2 linked regions of the Stegostoma tigrinum genome follow. The protein of the gene in region 2 interacts with the protein of the main gene of each other region in a pairwise test. Links are inferred from orthologs where the notes say so. Each region holds a gene or a part of one and is shown on either strand. Other genes may lie near its edges.

Region 1 (7,934 bases), on a different chromosome or scaffold from region 2:
CTGCTATTGCAAAATCATAACCATTGCACAGCCTATTTAAAGGTACCTATTTAAAAACTGGAAGTAAATTCCTTAAGCATAAAAATTAGTCACAGGTACATATTTCTAAACCTCCCGACAACTGACTACCAGTCGCATAATAACTGACCACCACAGGATGAACAGAGCTGAGTGCACTCTCTATCCCTCCCTGTAGAGAGGACACAGGCAGGTGGAAGTCTCCCTTAGTACCCCTCCTAACGTATACTGGGAAAATATTTCCGTAGCCTGGTCACAAACTGTTCACCAGCCTTCCTGGCTATAGCGGCAGATTAGTTTACTATCTCCAGGTAGAATAATGGGTTTGGAAGAAATTCATGAGGAATACAAAGAAAAATAAACTCTGTGACAATCACAGTATTTATACAATTTTCAGTTATGTGCCTCTGTAGGTTTTAAAACTCTCATTCATCTCTCTTGCCCAATTCTAAACTGTGTTGATGTGTCAACGATGAACTCATCCTTACTAGCCATTTACTATATCACACGGCGAGACTTTCAGCACTAGAGCGATGAGCTATGTAACGAGAGCAAAACACATTCAGGAACAACCACTGTGCTGCCTGGAATAGTCCAAACTCGCTGAGCTGACCTAGGACACGCTACTGAGACGAGGTGTTGGTGGGAGGCCATACAGTTCTCCACAGAAAACATCCTAATAATAATGGAGATCCCTCACCAGGGATCGCCCAGAGCAACGAGGAACTCACTGATTCTACTACACCGCGCCTTGAGAAAGGGGCGAGTGTGTGAGCAGGATACTTGACAATTTGTCAACCAAGTTGCAATCTACATTGTAATCTCAAACTCCTCAATCACACAGCCGAGTTTATACCGCGGTTTCACGTTTTACTGGCTTCGGGTAAAGTGACTATATAAACACCCGGGGGGCTGCAAATTGCTTTCCCGAATCAGAACCCGGTACTCGAGTAAATAATGCATCGAGGAATAAGCAACGTGTCGCCGGTCGGAGCTGTGCAAGTCTCCAGTTGAGAGTGCTCGGTGCACAGAGCCCCTTTTCACATCACCTGTTAACAGCCAGCCCCAGAGCGGGGACGACATGTTTTGAAAACACAGATGTAAATAATGGGAAGGTGCCCCAGAACAAAAAAAAACAAAAATTGCCATGGGCCTCAGTCCGTGGTGCCTGTGAGATCGGTGGGGACATCAAATCTGTGCGGAACACGGTACTTGGGGAAATGGTGAGGGGCGGGGGGCGATATTCTCAAAAGCATGACCGCTTTCCCAATGAAAGAGCCAGAATGTACGCAAGCGCTTGAAAGTCCGCATATTGATAAGGCAGTGCTGTCAGCAACAGGGGTCCCGATTAATCTCTGGAACTTCTTTTTTGTCATTGCTTTTGTTTTGTTCACAAAGGAACACTGAAGGGTTTGAGGGATCCGCGTTTTGAGGGAGGGAGACAGGAATGGAACCTGTTAAAATTCGTTCCAGTTATTCTTTTAGCAATATCAATAGGAAAAACCCCTCTTCCATCAGAAGGGTAGGACCCCCCCAGTACAGGGGAGCCCGTCCCGTTAGGCTCGGGGTCCTGTCCTCTCGGGAAAGCGCGTTTCCCACACCGCCCGGTTTCTAAAGAGGCGCTTACCTCCGAATAGGTCAGGAGACAGGTGAGCGGGCAGCGAGCCGATGAGTAAGCGGGGAGCTGAGCTGTGTGCTCCCGGCCGCTCGGGTGTCCTTTCCTCCGGGGTGCTGCCCTCCGACTCCTCTTGCGAGCTGCAAGTGCCGCCGCTGTTGGGGATGTTGACCGACTGGTTCCTGATGCCGGCGCCAGTCGCTGACCTGGGACCGCCGGCGGCTGGAGGTGGAAGAGGAGGAGGAGGAGGCGGCGGCGGCGGTGAGACCAAGTGGAAGCGGCCGCTGGACGTGGGGGCCAACCCGTAGCCGGCCACTGAGCCGTGGCCCGAGGCGCTCGATGATGATGATGAAGCGGCGGCGGCGGCGGCAGATCCCCCAACCGAGCGGCTGCTGCTGCTGCTGACCGTGTGCGAGGGCAGATCGGAGCCCGAGTAAGCCCGGGTGCGACCGCTCGGAGCCGGGCTGCTCTGCTTCGCCCCCATGGGGGTGACCTGGGGGCAGGAGGAAGGGGGGGAAAGGTAGGGGCTTCTCAAATCGGTCGCTAACAAACTTCTGAGCCACTTTCTTCCGCTTCTGAATCCTTCTCTTCCCCAGCCCCCCCAAAAGATTGAGGTTCCCAATGTTTCTCTCGAATCCACTGCTGCCCCTTGTTCCGCTGATTTTGTATTTTTTTGGGGGGGGTAGTTGTTTTTAACAAAAAGCACGGGATGTGTGTGTTTATTACTTGAGGAACAGAAAGATCCCAGTTAAAGAAAGCGAGTCAGCCTTGGTGCATACCGTTGCTGCTGCTGCAGCCCTTTTGCAGGAGATCCGAGGCGGCGCTGCAGACAGGGAGAAAGGTTCAGCAAGTGGCCCGCGGGTGAGTGTACTGCAACCGGCGGGAGTGCCGCGCTGGCTCCGCTCCCGATTCAGTTCCTGCTCTTACTGCCGTTCCTCCGGATTGCTGCTGCCGCCCCGCTCTATCCGCCATCGCAGCGCTAAACCAACAGCATGGCAATCAGAACAAAAACAAAAGTGAGCTGTTGCTTTTCCTCTCTCTTTGTTTTCAGCCCCCCCCCCTTCTTTTTCTCTCTCTCTCTCTGTGTATGTGTGTTGGTTCAACTAGTTCCTCTTGCCCCCACCCCGTTTTGCCTTCCTCATGCTTCGGGAGCTCCTGGCACTCTGTTCGACAGGGGGACATCCAAACGCCGACACGCACGCATCATTAAAGTCCAGAGGACGGCCAGATAACACCGAGGCACATTCACAACAAACACGGAGACTTACTCAATGACTGACTGACTGGCCACCCCCTTCCTCGCGTCAGGGCACGTCACAAACAGCAGGAAGAGATCACACAGTCATAATGAGAGAGAGAGAGAGAGAGACGTGGGGGAAACAATACACAGATATCACGGTTAACGACGACAAAGACAGGGAACAATGTACTGAGACCACACAGTAACAATGAGAGAGGGACAGGAACAATACATAGAGATCACACAGTAGCAATGAAAGAGAGAAAGACTGGAATCCAGACCACACAGTAACAATGAGAATGAGAGAGACTGGAATCGAGACCATACTGTAACAATGAGAGAGAGACGAACGATACAAAGAGATCCCACAGTAACAATGAGAGAGAGAGTGAGGCAGGAACGATACATAGAGATCACACAGTAACAATGAGAGAGAGAGAGATACGAACAATATATAGAGAACATACAGTAACAGAGAGAGGGAGAGACAGGATTAAACATAGAGATCATACAATAACAACGAAAGAGAGAGAAGCAGGAACAGTACACAGATAACACACAGTAACAATGAGAAGGACAGGCTGGGACAATATACACAGATCATGCAGTCATAATGAGAGACAGATCGGGGAAAATGTGCGGAGACCACAGTAACAATTAGGAAGAGAGATGGAACAATGCACAGAGCTCACATTGTGACAATGAAAAGAGAGATATGAACAATCTATAGAGATCACAAAGTATTAATGAGATGCAGAGGTAGGGAGCAATACAAGAGATTATACATTAATAAAGAGAGACACAGGGAACAATCCACAGTGATAAAATAGTAACAATGAGAGTGAGAGACTGGATCATAGACAGAGATTAGAGAGTTACAATGAGAGAGAAGAGCCAGGGAATAATACAGATAGATCAGACAGTAACAATGACAGTGAGATATAGAACAATACACAAAGATCAGACAGTAAAACAGAGAGAGGTAGATAATGAGTGATAGGGAAAATTACACAGAGATCAGATGGTAACAATGAAAATGTGATCCTGAAAAATGCAGAGATCATACAGTAATAATGAGTGAGGGGGCAGAAAATAATCCACAGGTCACAAAGTAACGATGAGAGAGAGGTTGAAATCCACAAAGATCACACAGCAACAATTAAAATGAGACATGGAACAATACACAGAGATTGCATAATAATAATGAGAAGAGAGAGACCTGAACAATGGAAGTACAGCACAGGTAGACATTGTGCTGCAGAAGGCATACGGGATGCTTGCCTTCATAAAATATTGGAGCAAAAAAGTCTTGTTAATTGCTAAAACATTTATTAGGCCTCAGATGGCCTACTGTGTGCAGTTCTGGTTGCCACACCATCAGAAGGACATGATTGCACTGCAGAGGGTGCAGAGGAGATTCACCTGGATGTTGCCTGGAATGGAAAGTCTCAATTCTGAGGTGACACTAGGTGGGCTGGGTTAAGTTTCCTTGAAGTAGAGGGGACTGAAGGAAGATCTGATTGATGTATACAAAATTATGGGAGGCATAGATCCTGAGTGATGACAAGGTGGCTCAGTGCTGCCACAAAGCACCAGGGAACCCAGGTTCAATTTCACCCTCAGGTGACTTTGGAATATGCACATTCTCCCTGTGTCTTCATGGGTTTCCTCTGGATATTCTGATTTCTCCCCACAGTCCAAGGCTGTACAGGTTAGGTAGACTGGCCATGCTAAATAGCCCATGGTGTCAAGGGACATGCAGACTAGGTGGATTAGCCACTGGGGATGTAGGGTTACAGGGGTAGGGAGTGGGTCTGAGTGGGCTGTTCTTTGGAGAATCAGTGTGGACTTGATGGTCTGAACCAAGCCTGCTTCCACACTCTAGACAGAGTAGATTGTGAAAATCTCTTCCCCATGGCAGATGTACCTAAGACCAGACAGTATGCATTTATGGTGAGGAGCAAGTAGTTTAGAGGAAATATGAGAAATAATTTTTTCACCCAGAGTGTGATAGAAATATGGAACATACTGCCTGAGAGGGTGGTGGGAGCAGATACCCTCGCAACATGTAAGAAGCATCTGGTTGTGTACTTAAATGCCTGGGCATAATAGATTATAGATCAAGTGCAGTTAAGTGGGAAAATGTAGTTTGGTTTTTGCTGGTCAGCATAGACATGGTGGGCCAAATGGCCTGTTTCTATCCTTTATTACTCTATGAAATGGAACAAAACACAGCAATCACGCAACAATAATAAGGCAATGGGGACAGAAAGAGAGACATGGAACAGAGAGAACAGATAATAACAGTGAAAGTTAGACATGGAACAATGAACAGAGATCACACAGAAACAATGAGAGACAAGAAACATGGAACAATATAGAGAAATCAGTGAAGAGACAGTACTAGTGAAAATGAGACTTTGAACAATACACAAAGATCATATGGTAGGAATTAGAGAGATAGACATGGACCAACACACAGGGTGGTATCAGAGTAACAATCCGAGTGAACTATGGAACAATACAAAGAGAGAACACATTGCAACAAAGTGAGAAAAAGGTGTGGAACAATGCACAGACCTCACAACAACAAATTAAGAGACAGGCATGGGTAGAATACAAACGGTGATCACACAGTAACGTTGAATGATATAGATAGGGATCAGTATAGACAGAGATCACATTGTATCAGTGAGACAGTAACATGGGACAATACAAAGAATGATCACCAGTAACTGTTGAAATGATAGCTTTGGAACAATATACAGAAGATCACACAGTAACAATCAATGAGCTAACACGTGGAACAACATGGAGATAGATCACAAAGTTCCAACAAGGAAGAGAGTAATGGGACTTCACAGAGAGACTTCACAAAGTAACAATGACAAAGGTAGATACGGACCAATACAGAAAGAGATCACATAGTAACTAAGAGTGATATGTTAACAATACAGAAAGATTGCACAGTCACAAAGAGAGAGGCTAGAACTATATACAGAGACATAATGCAGTAAAAATGAGACTGAGCCAGGCACAATACACAGAGCAATTACTGGAAATAATAAGAATGAGATGTGGAAAAAAGAATGAGACAAAGATATTGCACTGTGGCGCTGTGAGAATTGACATGGAGATCTCACAGTAACAATGAATGACATATGAACAATACAAAGAAATATCAATTGTAACAATAACACAAATGAACATAGAGCAATTGACAGAGATGTCATAACACAACAATGAAAAGGAGACATGGAACAATACACAACAACAATGACAACGACCACAGTGAAATGTGAAACAATACTGTGATAGTGAGAGTGAGCTATGGGCCAGTAATGCAGAGATCATACATTTAAAATGGCAGTGAGACACAGAACATTACAGACAGATCAGAAAGTAACAACAAGAGTGCTTGAGAGGCAGAACAGTATGCAGAGAGAGTGCATAATATCAATGAGAGTAAGAATAATACACAGAAATATCAAAAGTAACAACCAGAGAGACAGAGATGGAAGAATACACTGACAGATCACACAGTAAAAATGAAAGTGAGACATGGAACAATACGCAGTGATCACACAGTAATAATGAGCATCAGATGTTGTGACTCTGATATTTGTGCATTGTACAATGAGCAAGAGAAAGATGGATCAATAATCAGCAAATGCAACATTATCATCGAAAAATGCACAGAAAAAGCACACAGTAATAATGAGATTTAGGACTGGAACAATATGGACTCAAATCACTTAGTAACAATCTGAGGGATAAACATGAAGAAATACAGAGAGATGACACATTAACAATGGAAGAGAGATAGATATTGTGAAAAAAAGTGATATCGCACTGTAAAAATGGGAGTGAGACATACAAAAATTCCTAGGGATCACACAGTAACAATTACAGAGTGACAAGGAATAATACACAGATAGATCACACAGCAACAATGAAAGAATGTGAAGGAACAATACAAAAATGTGAGTGATATGTGGGAAATGCACAGCAAAATCACATGGTAACTATTACAGAGAGAAACATGCAACAACACACAGGCGGATCACACAGTAACAACAAGAATGTGACAGGGAAACACACAGAGGTCATACAGTTATAATAAGAGAGAGAGAGAGACATGATCAAATACAGTGGTCACACAGTAACACTATGAGTCAGAAGTGGAAAAACACAGAGTTCATACAGTAGCAGTGACATAAAGAGGGATGGAACAGCACACAGAGAGACTACACAGTAGCCAAGCAGGAGATACATGGAGCAATACGCAGAGGGATCCCACAGTAATAATGAGACTATGACATGGAACAACACACAGAAATCATACAGTTACAATGAGAAAGTGAGACATAACCAGTACACAGATAGTTCACACAAAAATAATGAGACTGAGACATGCAGTGACACAAGGAGAGATCACTCAGTCAGGGAAACACATGGAACCAATAAATAGAGAACACACAAGTAAAAGTACAAGAGAAGGCCTTGGAACAACATACAGAGATCACACAGTAACAATGAGAGCGAAACATGGACAATAGACAGAGATCAGAGAAAAATAATGAGAGTGACACATGGGACAATTCCTAGTGACTACGCATTGATAGTAAACAGAAAGAAAGCGGAATAACAGTATGATTGAAGTGTAAAACAACAGACACAGACATCTCACACTATCAGTTTGATAGATGGACTTTGGACAGTTTACAGTGAGATCACACAGGATTGATTAGGGAGAAAGCAATCAAACAGCAGCAATGAGTGAGGTAGTGATTGAACAATAATGTGTACCTATAAGAAAAAGAGACAGATGGAATATGCACAGAAATCAAACAATAACAATGAGTGATATAGATTTGTAACAATACACAGACAGATCACACAATAGCAATGGGAGTGAGACGTGAAACAACACAGAGAAATTTCACAGTAATAATGACAGAGACAGATTCATAGACAACACACAGTGAAATCACACTGTAACGATGCTGGAAGGAAACATTGAACAATACACTGCATCAAAGTTGTACATTTCAGATGGTA
Region 2 (8,066 bases):
GAGTGAGAGCCATTAAAGCTTACTAACTATAACTAAAACTTTTCTACATTACTGGTAAATTGTGGCAGACAATTTCAAAATCAAAAAAGGCCTCCAGGATGGATGATATATACCCATAGCTGTAAATCTTCAAAGTGCCATCACTACATTTGGCAACGAATGAAAGAGTCACCTCAAGGAATTGAAAATAGGTCAACACAGCAACCTATTTTCTAAAATGGTTGACAAAACAAACCCAAGCAACTGTTATATCTATTAAGTTTCACATCAACAATTGCCAGACTAACAAAGGACAGACAGTAATAAAACAGAGGAGGAAATTGCAACTGAAATATCTGATCTTTTGAAACATTTCAAGTACATTTTGGCATGTCCAAGTAACACTGTGGATGTCTGAACATTCGTACTAAAAGCCAGGAGGCACAGAAGCAGTTGGAGAAAGAAAGCACTGATTTTAGCAACAATGTAAAGAAATACACTGAGTAACTTCTTGGGAACATACTAGAGTAACAGAAACACAACTACTTGCAACTGCTGTCTTCACTCTGGCACACAGTGTTTTAATAATAATTGCAAAACCCTACTTGCAAGGGAGTAAAATACTGGAAATCTAAATTACCTCCCAAGGCAAAATGATGCAGGATTTCATAGTCCAAAAAGTGGTCATGAAGACACAGACAAGGCCACCACAAATGCAAACAATGAATATTTGGAGAAACAAAGTTGAAAGCCTGTGAAATGATGCTTAAATTTGTACAGGACCTTTATTAGTCCACAGGTAAAGTATTACATGCAGTTCCATTCTCTAGATTATAAAATAGGCCTTAGAGGTGCCCTCAACAGTACAGTAAAGATTAACCAGGATAACAGAACACAATTGAAGATCCGAGATAATGGGAACTGCAGATGCTGGAGAATCTAAGATAACAAAGTGTGAAGCTGGATGAACACAGCAGGCCAAGCAGCATCTCAGGAGCACAAAAGCTGACGTTTCGGGGTAACATCTTTCATGACAAAGTGCTTTAGAACCAATGAAATACAAAGTTATTATTGTAATATAGGTAATAAACAGCTGGTTTGCACAAATAACAGATAGTAGGAACTGTAGATGCTGGAAAATCTGAGATAACAAGGTGTAGAGCTGGATGAACACAGCAGGCCAAGCAGCAGAGGAGCAGGGAAGCTGACGTTTTCGGTCTAGACTCTTCTTCAGAAAATCTGAAGGGTCTAGGGCTGAAACGTCAGATTTCCTGCCTGGCCTGCTAGGTTCATCCCTCAAATAACAAGCAAGATGAGGACTACACGATCTGCTCTTCGCCTTTGGGAGCGTAGCACAACTTCTAAGGTTGGCTCAATTTGGGGTGCCACTTTAAAAAAAGTGACAGAGCTCAGATTGAATTTACTACTCTACTGGTTTCTGTTGCCTACTTTTCGTCTTCAGGTTTACTTTCAGTTTTAGCTGTAACGGAATTGACAGTCTGTGGCCGCGGAACTCCCTGAATTATAACTTCTACGTTCCCACTTCAAATTTAACACCGATTCGCTTTCAACTACGAGCGTCAGAGGTCTTAGAGCCCAAGAGAGGGATCTTGACCTCAGGCTATGAAAGCAGAGTCACAAACTATTTAGTCAAGGCAGGGAAATTAGACGTTATCGGAGTGGGAATTCCCAGAACAATCAGGCCGGTCACGACCTCCTGGAAGGGCAGAGCCAGCTCAAGGCGGCCGTACGGCCCTGCTCTGTCCCCGATTTGTATTTTTCGAGCCCTCTCGGTTTGCCCGGGACTTTCGGGCCGCGTTACTCTCGTCGCTGTTCGGACGCCCCGCGAAGGCGGTGAGGGCCGACGCCGCACAGTAAGCTTCTAGAAGCTTCCACTGCAGCCGAAGCGGGAGCGCTCGCGTACCAGCAGAATGTCACACAATCCCTACAAGTGCATTCTCCCCCCCCCCATCCAGCATCAACACCGGGCTACGCCGCGACAACATGGCGGAGGAGACGGGGAGCTCCCAACCGGCCGAGGTCACACGGTCGCCTTGCCCCCCCCCCCCCCCCCTCAGTCTATCCTTTTTAAAAAACCCTGGGAGCGGACCCCACAAGTCACGTGTCTCTCTCTCTACCCCCCCCCCCCGCCAACTCCAGTCCGTTACCCGAGCGGCGCGAGGGCCCTTTTCAAACGCGGCGGTCATTCGAGCCGCGCACTCCATTAAAAATCACGCACGGTGGGGGCGAGAAGGAGCTGCTCCACGTTTAAAGAAGCGCTATCGACCCAAGAAATTGCCACCCCCTCCACACCCGGTCTAAAGCAAAGAAAAATAACCTTCTCTCATCGACACCGCCTCTCCCACCCACCCCCCCCCCCAACACAAAAATATAACCACCTCCCGCATTAGGCCTCACCCATCGGCGTCACCGGGCTCTAGGCTGTGACGCACCCCGCCCGCTGCGGGAGAATTAGGGGGCCCACCCCGCTGTCGCCCCTAGTTCCCGGGGGGGGGGGGGGAAGAGAAACTCTTGTAAGGCCTCCTGCTTGGCCCAGGAAGCGGCATACCAGTCAGGTCATCTTTCTCTTCTATTTCTACACCTCCCTACCCCCCCGCAAAACACGGTGCGGGCTCCGCCGCCATGTTGATGCCATGAGGCTTTCTTTTCAGGCTTCCCTAGCTGGAAGCGGAAGTGGTTTCGCAAGACAGAAGGGGAAAAGAAACATGGAATAATCGCCCTACCACCTCAACAGGTAATTATTAAATGTTTTTATTCGAAACAAAATGCTTTTTAATAATTTGTAGCCTTTCGAGACCCGTACCTTGGTGATACGCCTGGGAAGCCCGCCTGCCATTTTCGCTCGATGTTTGGGCGGCGATGCTTTCTTGCGCTCGCTCTCCTGTTTCTCTCTCTTCCCACAAAACTGCGGGAGGAGCCGGAGCCTGTCGTCTCTCTCCTGTTTCTTTCGCCCTTCCCCCACTTCCGGGTGCGTCAGGGGAGAGTGCGGGGCTCGCTGGGTAATGTAGTGCGTCGGGCAGGTTCCGCCCTTTGGGCTGACCTGGCCGGGGGACTACAACTCCCGAAATGCACCGCAAGCCGTCTGCAAGACTCCCTTTAACCCTGCAGGCTGCAGCCTTGCGGGTGTGTGTCCGCACTGCTGGGAAACGAAAGTGATTGTGCATTGTCAGAAAATGCAAAGCAAAAACACGAACAGCTGTAACTCGGGTAGTGTTCAATGTTTCGCTTGTATCTGCAACCTACTCGGTTGTGGAATGCTTTTGGACGGCCTAATGTCACCAGAGTCTCCTCCCCCACCATAAACCAATGGATTTACGCCACATTTTCATGATTTAAGAGTTGGACAAGAACTCCACAATTTCCAACACTCCTGAATTTTAAGCAACCTAGATTATTCAAGTTTTAAGCTCCTGTAAACTTGAACAATCGCTTAGTCTACAACGTTCAAAGCTCGCTGAAACTGGCTTTTTCTTCCCCCCCACATGACTAGTTAGTTCTAGGTACCCTTACACTAGCCACCTCGCGATTTGCCCAACCCAATTACTGACCCCTAACTGTCTGACGTCACGCTGTATAAACGAGGTCCTGCCCCGCACCACCCTCGTACCTACAGAAACTAAACACCTACCACCTGCAACAGTAAAGTCTCCAGTTTTTGTTCAACGCGACCTGTATTTGAACCGGATTGTCCAACTCTGCAGAAATAATCTTTCGCAGTAGCCACTTCTGTCACATCTCCCACTTGTAATATCTAGCCCATCTGATCCTGTAGCTGGTACCTGTCTGTAACACAGGCGACAGGCTTCTGCCTTGTACAAGAGCAAGCTGCTACTCTGAATCCTACATCAGGTATCAATGTGCCAGGTTACCATTTTTTAGTTTAAAAAAAATTGAATCTCAGACAAAAAATTTGGTTAGAGAAGGTGAGAAAGTCCCAATACGAAACATCAACTTTCCTACTCCTCTGATTCTGCCTGGCTTGCTGTGCTGTCAAAGGTTTTGTTGATTGTTTCAGTGGCTGGAATGGCGTTTAAAGACCTTGTTACATTAACTGAATAGTGAAGCATTTTTCAGTAGTTTAGACTTACCTCAACTGACAACAAACCAGATAAACTGGTCATTTATATAATTTATGTAAATTGGTTGCTGAGATGTCTACATTTGATCCACATACTCAATTTATCTGAGCCACTTGCCCAATCATTGTAGTTGCTAACTCTCTTACCTGTTTTAATTTTCACACTCTTGTCACAACTCATGTCCTTTTCTGATACCATAAAGCTCATTTGAGTTCCCATCGGACTTAATTGCCAACTTTCCAACAGTTAACAATGAACAGTTCTGAAATTAATCACTGTGTACCTTGTACATAATTATCTTCAATGTAATTAAAACCAAAGTTTTGGGCTAGAGAACATTTATTGTCCATCCCTAATTGCCCCAAGGGCAGTTCAGAGTCAACGACATTGCTGTGGACCTGGAGTCACATGTAGGCCAGACCAGGTAAGAATGACCGTTTCCATTAGTGAACCAGATGGGTTTTTCCTGACAATCAACAATGGATTTATGGTCATTCCAGATATTTTATTGAATTCAAATTTCACCATCTGCCATGGCGGGATTTTAACCAAGTCCCCAGAACATTATCTGCGTTTCGGGATTAACAGTCCAGCGATACTATCACTAGGCCATCGCCTCCCCTGTTATGCTCTTGTTCAAAATGGTTAAACAACTAATAAATACAAGCCTGTCAGTTTAACCTTGGTGGTGGGAAAACTTTAGCAACAATAATTTGTGACAAAAGTAACAGTCACAAACATTAACAATGGGAGAAGTGAAGAAGGTTAACAAGGGTGTTTAAAGGCAATTCAGGTTTAACTAACTTGGTTGAAATTTTTGAAGAGATACAGACTGGTGAGCTTAAATGTGATTGATGTGGCACACATGGATTTCCAAAAGACCTGTGCTAAGGTGTCATGTAATTGACTTGCCACAAAAGCTGATTCCTAAAGAATAAAAGCAACAATGGCGGCATAGATGCAATGCCCAATAAATGATGGGAAACAGAGTGGTGGTCATTGGTTGTTTTTCAGACTGGAGAAAGGTCTAAAATGGTGTTTCTCAGCAATTGATATAAAGATTGTTGCTTTTCATAATCTACATTAGTGACTTGGGTGTACAGGACAGAACTTCAAAATTTTTAGATGACACAAAATCTAGAAAGCATAATGAATCATGAGGAGGATAGTGTTCACCCTCAACAGATGAAATTTAACCTAGAAAAAGCATGAGGAAAGGCAATAAGAAATGGTCAGTAAAGTGGATGCAGGAATAATAGGGCCTTGGAATATAGATGCAAAAATTGTTGAAGATTACAGAGTAAATTGAGAAATACACATGGCATCTTAGGCTTTGAAAATGGAGAATATATCGGCACAAAAGCAAGAATTATATCACAAATCTTTACAAAGTAAAAATTAAGCCTGAACTGAAATATTGCGATTCAATTCTGGCATTGCGTTTAAGGAAGAATATAATGATTTTAATGAGGATGCAGAAAAAAGTTATGAAAATGGTTTCAAAGATGAGGAACTTTAGTCTTTGGATAGACTGGAGAATCTGGGCCTGTCATCCTTCAAAATAGAGCAGTTTGTGACATGACATTTGAAAGAGGTGCTCGGAGTCATGGGGAAAATCATAAAACTCGTCATAGCCACAGTCTGAGGATACAAGGTATCTTGGACTGAGAATAGGAGAACTTTCTTCACCAAGAGAGTTAAGCCTGTGGAATTCTCTGCCACAGAAAGTGCTTTGAGGTCAAAAATTAGGTCAAGAACATTAAAAGTTTAGGGAGTTAGTTCTTAGGGCTAAAGGGGTCAAATGATATGGGAGAAAACAGGAACAGGATATGAGTTGGATGATCAGCCATGATCATATTAAATGGTACGGCAGGATCAAGGGCTGAATGGCCTACTCCTATTCCTGTTTTTTTTAATGTTTCTACTTAAAATGGAATTTGATAAACATCTTAGGGAAACAACTTGTAGGGATTTAAGAAAAGTGTGATATATTGTGATAAGCTAAATTGCACCATTTGCTCAATTGATTCAAATCTGTCCTGTGCTGTTATCATCTTTGCTTAATTCTTGTGATTTTCTCACATGGATTAATTTACCTCACAGTATAAGAATGTGCAGGAGATATTTTTGACAACAGGAAAATGTTTACAGAATGAGAGTGAGTGGTAATCTACTGATACCAGATTTTGACTTTGTTAGAACATAGAACAATACAGCACAGTACAGGCCCTTCGGCCCTCAATGTTGGGCCGACCTGTCATACCGATCTCAAGCCCATCTAACCTACACTATTCCATGTACGTCCATATGCTTATCCAGTGACGACTTAAAATGTACCTAGGTCTAAATTCCAGCCTGGAATATAGAAACATTCCAGTTTCTGAGAGTTTTCTGGTGTTAGTTTCGTCACGTAAGAGGAAGGAAGGAACTTGGACTCTAGGTTTTCATTTTAAATTTGCTAAATTATTGTGGAAGATAAGGAGGCAATCAGACTATTTGAATTCCTTTTATTTCTCCTCTACAATTCAAGAAGGATATGAGCAGCTAGAAATAAGAATGCAGGAGCCACATAGTGCAGTAACATCAGCTCTTGGAACCAAAGATCTATAAAGGTTTACAGCACAGGAGGCAGCATTCAGCCCATCAGGTCTGTGCTAACCATCTGCTGAATCCAAAACTAATCCCACTGACCACCCCTCTGTAGCCTTGTACCAATGCTCAAGTAATCACACATATCACTGTCTCCCCATTGCACTCCATCAATCCCGAATTAATCTGCCTATGCAGCTGTCTAATGTCTATATAATTTTTAAAACCATACTCCGATCAAAACTAACCTCACTGCACACACTGTTGCATGTTGCTGCATTTCAAATATTTAGCTAAATGTTTCCTCAAAAGATCACTGGTCTTCATCTGAAATGTTCCAATTAACAAAATATTCATGTTTTAACAATTAAAAACTATTGTAAATATCCGAGATCATAAATATTTTCTGATTTTGTTTTCATGCTAAAATTTGGAGCATAAAAGCTGATTTCTTCCCACTGCAGAACAAGAAGGTCACAATCCAGGATTTTTGGTGGCATGACAAGGGAAAGATGGAGCATAGTGCTGTGGTTACAAGGGACTACTGCCTTTGTTTTAATGCCGTGGGCACAAAAAAGCCACTTCTTTTGGCGCAATGATTCTCAATGGGTACACTGTACAGTCAGTAGCATAGAAATTTTCATATTGCTTTAAATTGCAGCTTCTCCTCAGCCATCACCTGAAGTTATTGACTCATACAGGTAATACTGATCAGAATCTAGAACCTCATTTACTTGACTCTTTTTCAGTTATGAACGGAGATAACCTGTGCCAACACAGTGTTTGCCCACAGGCAGAAGCATAATTCTCCGATCTGATTCTCTCAACTGATGTCTGCTTGCATATAGGGGGTCTTGGAAGATGAGGAAATGCTGCAAGCTATATCTCTTTTCTCTAGCTCAGAATGCACAAGTATGAATTGCTGATCCCAACCATTTTCCCACTAAAATCAGCTATGCTGGGGATCGAGGCAGTTGCATTTGTGCTCTGCATGAGTAACTCTAAAACGTTCTAATAGAAGTCTCAAAAATGTATTTTAAATGTCTTTAATTTGAAAATACCCTCTATAGTCAAGAGTCAATTTTTGTCTACAAATCCTCTGTCCAAAAACTCAAAATCTTTTACTTACCTCTCATAATTGCCATTAATTCCAATGCATCAACTTGGTGAGGAGTTGATGGCATAGTAGTTACATCACTGGACCACAAATCCAAAGAGCCAGGCTAATGAGGCTGCACAGTGGCTCAGTGGTTAGCATGACTGTATCACAGTGACCCGCGTTCAATTCCAGCCTCAGTCGACTGCGTGTGTGAAGTTTGCACATTCTCCTTGTGTCTGCGTAAGTTTCCTCCCACAGTTCAAAAGATGTGCAGGCTAGGTGGATTGGTTATGGGAAAT

Evidence for each region. The genes of interacting proteins can lie anywhere in the genome.
Region 1: the proteins of ube2na (region 2) and znrf2b interact in a two-hybrid assay, tested with the Homo sapiens proteins (4 studies listed by BioGRID). The link is inferred for Stegostoma tigrinum from reciprocal best matches to the Homo sapiens genes UBE2N and ZNRF2.

Annotation. Positions count from the first base shown.
Region 1 is NC_081355.1:21,716,460-21,724,393, forward strand, and holds the start of znrf2b (E3 ubiquitin-protein ligase znrf2), read right to left. Parts: upstream 3,090-7,934; 5' UTR 2,118-3,089; coding exon 1,646-2,117; intron 1-1,645. UniProt on the Homo sapiens protein: E3 ubiquitin-protein ligase that plays a role in the establishment and maintenance of neuronal transmission and plasticity. Ubiquitinates the Na(+)/K(+) ATPase alpha-1 subunit/ATP1A1 and thereby influences its endocytosis and/or degradation.
Region 2 is NC_081378.1:49,660,852-49,668,917, forward strand, and holds the start of ube2na (ubiquitin-conjugating enzyme E2Na), read right to left. Parts: upstream 3,022-8,066; 5' UTR 2,837-3,021; coding exon 2,804-2,836; intron 1-2,803. UniProt on the Homo sapiens protein: The UBE2V1-UBE2N and UBE2V2-UBE2N heterodimers catalyze the synthesis of non-canonical 'Lys-63'-linked polyubiquitin chains. This type of polyubiquitination does not lead to protein degradation by the proteasome.